2 linked regions of the Oryctolagus cuniculus genome follow. The protein of the gene in region 2 binds, or shares a complex with, the protein of the main gene of each other region. Links are inferred from orthologs where the notes say so. Each region holds a gene or a part of one and is shown on either strand. Other genes may lie near its edges.

The links.
Region 1: the proteins of SRC (region 2) and PTPN1 are in contact, whole or in part, in a crystal structure (PDB 3ZMQ), measured with the Homo sapiens proteins. The link is inferred for Oryctolagus cuniculus from reciprocal best matches to the Homo sapiens genes SRC and PTPN1. Residues at the interface, in NP_005408.1 of Homo sapiens: Glu527, Gln529, Tyr530, Gln531, Pro532; in NP_002818.1 of Homo sapiens: Arg45, Tyr46, Arg47, Asp48, Val49, Asp181, Phe182, Ser216, Ala217, Gly218, Ile219, Gly220, Arg221, Ser222, Gln262.

The regions. Positions count from the first base shown.
Region 1 is NC_091442.1:10,308,643-10,313,729, reverse strand, and holds the start of PTPN1 (tyrosine-protein phosphatase non-receptor type 1), read left to right. Parts: upstream 1-1,879; 5' UTR 1,880-2,027; coding exon 2,028-2,090; intron 2,091-5,087. UniProt on the Homo sapiens protein: Tyrosine-protein phosphatase which acts as a regulator of endoplasmic reticulum unfolded protein response. Mediates dephosphorylation of EIF2AK3/PERK; inactivating the protein kinase activity of EIF2AK3/PERK.
Region 2 is NC_091442.1:21,176,764-21,181,054, reverse strand, and holds part of SRC (proto-oncogene tyrosine-protein kinase Src), read left to right. Parts: intron 1-1,564; coding exon 1,565-1,597; intron 1,598-2,299; coding exon 2,300-2,398; intron 2,399-2,511; coding exon 2,512-2,615; intron 2,616-4,002; coding exon 4,003-4,152; intron 4,153-4,291. UniProt on the Homo sapiens protein: Non-receptor protein tyrosine kinase which is activated following engagement of many different classes of cellular receptors including immune response receptors, integrins and other adhesion receptors, receptor protein tyrosine kinases, G protein-coupled receptors as well as cytokine receptors.

The DNA.
Region 1 (5,087 bases), about 11 Mb from region 2:
TAGGAATTCTTTAGGTTTTATTCTAACTGGAATGGGAAACTTGAGTTTTGCAAAGGAGGGATCATGGTCCACATATTAACATCTCTGGCTGCCGTCAGGTGAAGAGTGAATGCGCGGGGCGTTAGCTGGTGCTCGAAGTTGGGAACTTCCTCCCCTGCCCCTGTGTGGGCTGCACGGGGGCCCCACCGAGGGGACGGCCAAGTCCTAACACCCAGTGCCTGGGTGAGAAGTCTTTGCAGGTACAGTTAACTTCATGATCTCAAGCTGAGATCATCCGGGCGCCCTGGGATCGCCCGTTCTGGATTAGGGTGGCCCCCACAACGGCAGGTGTCCTTGTCGGCGTGAGGCAGAGCGAGCAGACAGGCGGAGCCGGCGGCGCCGGGCCGGAGGAGTTGCCCCCACGTGGCTGACGCCCCGTGGACACCCTAACTCCCACCTTTTGGCCTACAGCACTGCGAGAGGATGCACTCTGCCAACTGAAGCCCCGGAATCGGCAGTAGTTGATGACAGCAGCCTCCACCGTGACCAGCTGTGGCCCCAAAGGCGGAGCCGGTCACCCTGCAGGCGTGAGGGCCGCTGGGGCTCAGGACGGGCCCTTGATCTATTTACCCATCAGCTCTGCGTACGACGGCGACAGGACTGAACCAGGTCTGTTCTCTGTCCGCCCGCGCTCTCATCGCGGTGAGTCCCAGACAAACCGGCACTCGCGAATGGAAGGGGCAGGAGCAGCCCACGGCCTTCCCGGGGCCAGGAGGTAAATGAGGCCGCTCTCGCCTGGACCAGCGCCTCTGTTCCACTCTCCCTGTGGGGCCCTCGGCTTCAAGAGAGGCCTCCAGAGAGCCCAGCAATGCAGATGCAGGTGAATCCGTCCACCTGCCCGCCTGCTGCTGTTGGGCTGAGCTCCTGGGCTCCCCGCTAGGCCAACAGCATTCTGTACCCCAGTCTTGGTTTTTAGCACATCACCCATCGAGGGCCTGGAGGGCGCAGATGCACGGTCACCTGCGGCTCCCCCAGGCTGTGGCCCAGGTGGAATTTGGACCCAGGCAGCCCGCCCCAACGCACGCGGGAATCCAGTGCTGCTCCGGACGGGTGGTTCTCCCTCCCGGCGCCTCCGTCTCCCCAGAACTGGAGCTGGCAGTGCCTACTCCAGGGGGTGCGCGCGCAGATGACCCGAGCGCGTCCTCGGGACGCCAGGCCCAGCGCCTGCCCCAGGCGCCCAAGGAATGAGCTGGAATTCAACCGATAGCGCCAGGCAGCACGGGCTGGCCGTGGGCATGGGCACAGGGGTCAGAGGACGGGCCCTCCAGCTTGGCTCCCCCCCAGCCCGTGGCCCTCACAATGTCCCCGTGGCAAAGCCAGGCCTGGATGTGGCCAAGCGGCCAGTCGGCCAGCCTTTCCCGCTGTTTCCAGGAACGGGTACCCTGGTCAGCCGGGCTGCACTGTCCACCACGCGGCCCGCGGGATTTCCCACGCCCACCCGCCCACTCCTAGCGTCTCGGCCAGGGACACTACCGCTCGAGGGCCGGGCCCTCGCCAGCAGCCGGGGCGGCCATCGGCCAGAGCCCAGCCCCCCGCACACCGCACTGAAGGGCAGACGCGGGACGACTCCCAGGCCCCACTCTGACTCACCGCGCGCGCCTCGCCGCCGCGGCAGCCCCAGCTCCGCCCGCACCTCGCGGGACCCCGCGGTCACCGAGGCAACGCGCGCGCGCCACGCCCCAGCCCCGAGCCTCGCGCGGGAGGAGGGCGTTCCCTGCCGGACGTCCCCGGAGCCCCGCCCCCGGACCCGCCCCGCGGAAGTGCTGGCCGACATTCTCGGGCGCTGATTGCTCCTTTCGCTGCGGAGGCGGAGTCGGCGGCAGGCGCTGTGCGTACTTCCGGCTGCCGGGTTGACATGAAGAAGCAGCGGCGGCGGCGGCGGCTAGGGCGGCGGTAGCGGCGGGCGTTGCGGGGTACGGCGGGCCTCGAGGCGAGGAGCGCGACGCGGCCTAGAGCGGCAGACGGCGCAGCGGCCGCCCTGGCCCGTCATGGAGATGGAAAAGGAGTTCGAGCAGATCGACAAGGCCGGGAGCTGGGCGGCCATTTACCAGGTTCGGGAGCACCCCGGCGCGCGCAGGCCCTTCGCCGGGGCCGCGTGAGCCTTCCCCGCGGGCGCCCGGGCCCCGTTCTCGCTCCGGGGCCGGGGGACTCGAGCCGGCGGCGGCGCGGGCCGCCCCCCGCCCCGCTCTCTTTGTGCGCCCCGGGTGGGCCGCGCAGCCCGTTCGGGTCCGCCACCCGCCCCCTGCCCCGGCGCGGCCGCCTCTGCGCGGAGGCCGCCGGTGGGCGCCCCGCCCCGCCCCGGGGGTTGACTGGCCCCCCTGCGGCTTCCTCTTCTGGCCCGGACCACCCCGGACGCCCTTCCTTTGTCTCGCTGGGGACGGGGCTACTGCGCGCTCGCTCCCCGCGTTTCCTCCCGCCGTGGTCTCCGCGCGCGCCCGGTGCCCAGGGTGACAGCCCCCTCGCCCGGGGCTGTGAGCCGGCTGCCGCGTCGCGGGCCGCGCACCTGCTCGGGCGCCGGGGATGGAGGCTGCTGAGCCCCGCGGGAGAGGCCGGACCGGAGCGGACAGCCTCAGTGACAAGGGCTGCGCCGAGGACCGCATCGGAACGGGCGGCTCCGGAGAGCACGGGGGCGGGCTGCCCGGGGACACGGGCGCCGCGAGCCGCGCGGGGAGGGGCCGGCGGGCCGAGGAGCCCACGCGGGGCCCCGGGAGCTAGGCTTTCTGCCTGGCAGACACAAAGAGGCCCTCTCCGTGAGATGCCACTGCGGGGCCGAGAGGGCTGAGCGGAGCCACACTGCCGGGTGGCCGTGGGCAGGGCGCGGCGGGTGAAGGGAGTAGCAGCTCCCAGGCCCAGGGGCGAACTGGGAGACTCATCAGCGGGGTGTCGAGGTCTCTGGTGGGCTTGGCTGACGACAGCGTGCTTGCTGGGGTCCTCTCATGCACACTGCCATGTGTGCCAGCACCTGATGGACTCGCGTTTATAGCGGCTGTGATCTGTGTGACCGTGCGAGTCTGGTCTCTCGGGAGCTATGACCGCCTTCCAGCCGGGGCTCGGAGAGGGTCTGCAGCGGCTCTGAGTGGATTTGTTGCATCTGAAGCGTTGAAGCTGATTACGGTACAACTCATCCCAGGTGTAGACATTCGGGGGGAAGCTCTGAACTCGTCACGGGTGTAGACATTCAGGGGGAAGCTCTGAACTCGTCACGGGTGTAGACATTCGGGGTGAGGGGGAGCTCTGATCCTGAAGCAGGCTGAGCTCTCTGCAGGTTGACGTTACACAGTCGCGGCCACATCTGATGTGGGAGTTGGCGAGCAGACTGGCTGCCTTCCGGGCTGGAGGTGCTAGCGCGAGCGCGGTGCCGCTCTGCGGGGATTTCCCCGCTGAGTGTCCACCCCGCGTCACCCCGCGAGCCAGCCGAGACCTCGGTCTTGGTTCGGGATGGATCACCACAACCAGGGATGCATCATCTTTTGATCTTGAAGAATCATCATTGTGGGTTTTTCTCACCTCTGCTGTGGAGACTTGTTCTTTTCTAAAATCGAAATCAAAACCTCTTTCTTTTTAGGGTAAAAGTGGCTGGTCGTGCAACCGTGGCATTTTTAAAAACAGTTCAGGTGACTTTGGATCCAGAGTAGCTAACTTCTACGGTGTGTGTCCGTTTACCAAAACCGCTATGTTTCAGGATTTCAAAGAAACGTTATTACACTTGGTAGAAAATAGAAGTTAAAAAAAATAGCATTTTATGGCATGGATTTATAGTAGGTGGGCGAGGACAGCCTTGAGCCGTTAGCCGAGCCTGCCCTGCCTGTGCGGTGAGAGACGTCGCGTCACTCCCGCTCACAGCTGTGGAAAAGAGCACAGCACTCGTTTCTCTCTCTGCTCAGGTGCGAAGATGGGGAGGGCGCAGGGGCGGCGCGGTGGGAGGGGCCGAGATGCGCCAGCTCCGCGGGAAGGAGCAGCAGCCGGCGCGGGCCTTTGAGGCTGCTGTTCGCCCTGCGGTCCGTGAAGGCGGCCGTGACGGCCTGCGTGGATGACTAGAGTCGCGCTCTGGCATGTCCGTGACGTGCGGTCGCCGCTGGAGAGTGGGAGCGTCCTGGTGCGAGGGGCCGGCCGTGCGGGAGGGGTGAGCGTCGGCACCGGCAGATGCAGGGACTGGGTCAGGTGTTGCCTGTTGTTCTCTCTCAAAGCGCGGATTCTGACGCTGTCCTCGGCCTCAGCTGCGCAGCGTGAATGATTTGATTGTTTCAGATACAGGAGATTGCAACACGGATCGTGACTTGCAGGCGAGATGGGCTCCACGGTAGAGGCAGGCTTTGTAAAAGGGGCCACTCTGCCAACTGGCGCTTGTCCTCAGGGCGGCTTTCGCACTGAAATACAGCCTACTGCCCCAGTAGGTTCAAACCACGTCAGGACGGTAATTCCACTAACACGCCTTCCACTGTCTCCAGCCGGGGGTGTTCCAAGAAGATGAATGTCGAAGCGGCCCAGCCATGTTTGTTTAAATACCGTTCTCTTCAGGGGAAAGAGAGAACTTGCATTTTGGGCAGAGGAGAAAGATCTATAAACCATGACTCATTTTAGCTAAACACCAGCAGCAACAAGACAGCCGGAAGTGACGCGGAGGGGTCGGGAAGCGCTGGCCACCCCGCGTGGCCCGCTGGACTCCAGGTTCCCCTGCAGCCCGGTTTGAGTGGACTGAACTGCGGTGTCGGATTCCCGCTTTGGAAAAGGCAGGGAGCACAGGAGGAAGCGTGGCGGGAAGAGCCCCTTGCCACCGCCGTTGGGCGTCCTGGTGTGTGGGAACTTGGGAAGGAGGCAGGCTGGAACGCCAGCCGGGGCACTGGCAGTGCCCAGGGCTTCAGCTGCCCGTTGTCGGCCCTGGGATCCTGGCTCCGCTTGCCATTGCATCTCTGAGGAGTGCGTCCTCAAAACCTGTAACAAAGAAGACTTGGTATTGAATAACGTGAGCGAGTGCGTGCTGAGTTTCCTGGAGGCGTGAGTAAGAACTCTGCTGTGGGGGTTCCAGGCTGTCACCCGTGGAAACGGCT
Region 2 (4,291 bases):
GTTGGGGCAGATGGACAAGCCCCCCACCCCCGCAGGTGCACAGAGGGAGGCGGGTGGTGATTTCTGGCTCCCAAAGGTCCCTTCCCTGGAGGGGGCTTTGCCCCTTCCTCTGGGGCCCTCTCCTCCCCCAAAGACTCTCTCCAGAGCTTCACACCCAGCTGAGTGTGCAAGCAGCTGTCACACAGCTATGCAAGGCTGCCCAGCCCCAGCCAGGCCAGGCCCCTACACCCTGCTCCACACACGGGGCTTCCCGGGGCCTGGGGTGCTCACTGCCCCTTCATGAGTCCTCAGAGAGTCCTCCAGCCTGGTACTGTCTTTCTAAAAAATTTTATCATTTTTATTTGTTTGAAAGGTAGAGACAGAAATCCTCCATCTGCTAGTTCACTCCCCAAATGCCCACAACAGCTAGAACTGGGCTGAGCCGAAGCCAGGGGCTGGGAGCTCCATCCGGGTCTCGCCTGTGGGTAGCGGGGGGCCGGGAGCTCCATCCGGGTCTCGCCTGTGGGTAGCGGGGGTGCCGGGAGCTCCATCCGGGTCTCGCCTGTGGGTAGCGGGGGGCCGGGAGCTCCATCCGGGTCTCGCCTGTGGGTAGCGGGGGGGCCGGGAGCTCCATCCGGGTCTCGCCCGTGGGTAGCGGGGGGCCGGGAGCTCCATCCGGGTCTCGCCCGTGGGTAGCGGGGGGCCGGGAGCTCCATCCGGGTCTCGCCTGTGGGTAGCGGGGGGCCGGGAGCTCCATCCGGGTCTCGCCTGTGGGTAGCGGGGAGCTGGGAGCTCCATCTGGGTCTCGCCTGTGGGTAGCAGGGGCCCGGCCACCTGAGCCATCAGCTGCTGCCACCCACAATGGTGCATTATCAGGAAGCAGGACTCGGAAGTGGAGCTGGGACTTGAACCTGGGCACTTTGATACGAGATGTGGACATCCCAAAGTGGTATCTTTACTAGTGCATCAAATGCCCTATCCCTCCCCCACTGCATTGGCCGCAACTTCTGCATCTTTAACACGGGCCGAAGAGTATGGCCAGGGGCAGCTCAGAGAAGCTGGGAGTAAGGGTCCTGGTTCGAGTGGAGACCGTGTGACTGCAGGCGAGGGGCCTCTGTATTTCTGTGTGGCGGTGGCGGTGGGCGCATCCTGCCGGCGTCATTCAGGGCCAAGGTGACGTCCAAGACAGCCTTGTACTGACGAGAGCTCAGCAGACTGTCAGGTCCTTCCTCACCCAGTAGGGAGGGGTCCTCCTCCTTTGGGGCTGGCTGTGTGACCTTGAGCAGAGTGCTTTGCTTCCCTGGCCTCAGTCTTCCCATCTGTACAGTGGGAATAGGATGGGGGCTGAACCCTAGTCCCCGGGCTGCCCTGCCCATCGACCTCCCAGCCCCGCCCTGTGGGTTGCTTTGGATGCGAGGCCTCTGTGGCTGCCCCGTCTCTGTCCCCAGCCCCGCCTGGCTCTTCTGCCCCCTCCCTCGCTCTCTCTGCCACTCGTTGCCGCTCACCACCCCCATCTCTGCCTCTTCTCTCCCGTCGGGCTCTCGCTTTCTCCTCCCTCCTCTGTGTCTCTGGACCCCCGCTCCAGCCAGACCTGGTTCACATTCAGATGGCTGCAAAGGTACTTCCGCCCCTACCCCCTCCCCAGGTCCCAGGGCTCCTCCTGCCCCTGTCCCCGTCCTCCTCTCCTCCTCTCCTCCTCTCCTCCTCTCCTCCTCTTCCTCCTCCTCCTGGGGCAGTTAGTACAGAAGGGGCCTGGGCAGTGGGCTGCGCCACCTCGACCCCTCTGACGAGATCGCTGTGTGACTTTGGGCAAGTCGCTGCCCCCTCTGGCCTCAGTTTCCCGTGGCAGATGGGTAGGCTGCAGGAGGGGCCTGTAGTTTGCGGCTGAGGACCCTGTAGGCGTGAGCCATGGTTTGTGACAGGCAAGCACTGCTCTGCTCTGCAGGCTGGGGCCTGGGTTGCCCCTAAGGGTGCCCCTTGGCCTCCACCCAGGTCTCCCCAGCTCCTGGCGTCTGGCTTCTGAACCTCAGGGCTGGGGGAGACTCGGAGGGTGGAACCTGACGTTCCTCTTGGGCGGGAGTCTTCTCTCCCATTCCAGTGTTGCCTGCCCCCGAGGACCAGGAGCGCCCTTCTGAAAGGCCTGGCCTCTGCTCCGTGCACGGAGACCCTGGCTGCCTTCTGGCCTGGGAGGGGGGCTGCAGGCCAGCTCCATGGGGCAATGCGAGAGCTCCCCTGGTCCCAGCCTCGCTCACTGCAGGAAGCCAGCGGCCCTGGGCTGGCTGCTGACGGCTCCCTTGGCTCCGTGCTCTCCCCTGTGCAGGGAGGGAGACTGGTGGCTGGCCCACTCGCTCAGCACGGGACAGACCGGCTACATCCCCAGCAACTACGTGGCGCCCTCCGACTCCATCCAGGCCGAGGAGTGAGTATCTTCCTGGGCGTCTGCTCACCACTGCTCCTGGACTGCTGGGCGAGGTTGAGGGGTCCAGGGCTGGCGGAAACTGGACTGCTCACCGCTCGTCCCTCCCTCCCCAGGTGGTACTTCGGCAAGATTACCAGGCGGGAGTCGGAGCGGTTACTGCTCAATGCAGAAAACCCAAGAGGGACCTTCCTGGTGCGCGAGAGTGAGACCACGAAAGGTAGCAGCATTCCTGCTGGCCAGCAGAGGCTGAGTCTTTTGTGGGTTCTTGGGGCTGGGTGTTGCAGAATGAATAGGAGTTTGGGGGTAGAGAAGGAAGAGGATGAAACGGCAGGACAGAAGTCAGGCAGGCGCGTGTCTAAGTCAGCGGTGGGAGACGGGGTGCAGCAAGAGGAGAGACGAGACTTCCGTGGCCTCAGTTTCATCAGATGAGGACGGGCCCAGGTTGTCATGAGGTCCAAGTGTCACAGCACAGGTTTGTTCCCAGAATGGGTGCGGATGCAGGGGGCCCTCTCTTCCCCTTCCCCAGGGGCCTCTGGGGCTGCAGTGAGTGCTGGGAGCCGGCCTCGGCCTTCCCTGGCCAGTCCTGGCCCCGCCCCTCCTTGGGAGGGGAGGAGGGAGGCAGAGCATCCAGGCCAGGTGTGTGCGTTTGAGCCCTCAGGCGGCTTTGTACACGTGGGCACCCCTGTGCAGGTGTGTGCCTATGTGTGTGTGTGTGCACATGTGGAGGTTGGGACTGTGGGTTCGTCCTCACGCTTGGGGGCCTGGGGAGTGTGTGGCTGCTGGGTGTGGGTGTGCCAGCAGGTGTGTGCACCTGTGTGTGTGTGCATGTGCGTGTGCACACACCTGTGGCGGTCACTGCCAGCTGCAGCCTCGGGCCTCTGCTCCTGCCTGCCCTTGGCCCAGGCCACCTGCAGAAAGTCACAAGACACTCAGGAGGCGGTTCAAGGCCCGGCTCGGTCCTGACTCACCGAGCGACCGGGGGTAGCCGCATGCTGTGTTGGCACCGCGGGTGTTACCTGCCTGAGTGCGTCCCTGGGAGTTCGGTGGCCGGGAACTGCCTGCCAGGCCCCAGAGAAGGCCTCTGCCCCCAGGACCCAGTGCTGCCCCCAACACCGGCCAGGCATCTCCTGGGCAAGGGTAGCATGGGCTGCCAGCCAGGCTGGGCACCAGGAGGGCCACCGTCTGGCCACACACAGCACGTGGTCTCCTGCCTGGGCCTGACCTGTCTGCAGAAGGGGCCGGGCGTGGACTGTGTCCCCAAGGGCAAACCTGGGAGCGAGGGGCGCATAACCGCGGGGGCCGTTCCCAGACTCCCAGAAAACCTTCATGGAGTGCCCGCTGTGCCAGGCCCTCTGCTCTGTGGTCTCCTTGACTTCCCCACAGCCCCGAGGATGCCCCCATAGTGCAGAGAGGGAAACTGAGGCCCAGCAGCTTGTCAAGGTCTGGCTGTCTTCCCGGCGGTGGGCCATGGGCTGGCCTCCCCGGGCCCAGTGCCAGGCAGGCCCCAGCACAGTGCTTGGTGCTGGGGTCCTGGGGCGGGAGGGGTGCAGGTCCGGCGGGCATGGCGGTCACGGTGCTGCCTCCCCTCGGCCCGCCCCCTGCAGGTGCCTACTGCCTGTCAGTGTCGGACTTCGACAACGCCAAGGGCCTCAACGTGAAGCACTACAAGATCCGCAAGCTGGACAGCGGCGGCTTCTACATCACCTCCCGCACGCAGTTCAGCAGCCTGCAGCAGCTCGTGGCCTACTACTCCAGTGAGTGCACGGCCGCCGCCTCCGGGCAGCCCTCGAGGCTGCTGTCCTCTGTCCCTCCCTTTCGCCCTTCACTCTTCCCTGTCTCCCATGTCCTTCTGTGGCTGCCCTTGAGGAAGGGGCTGCCCTGGAGGGGAGGGGA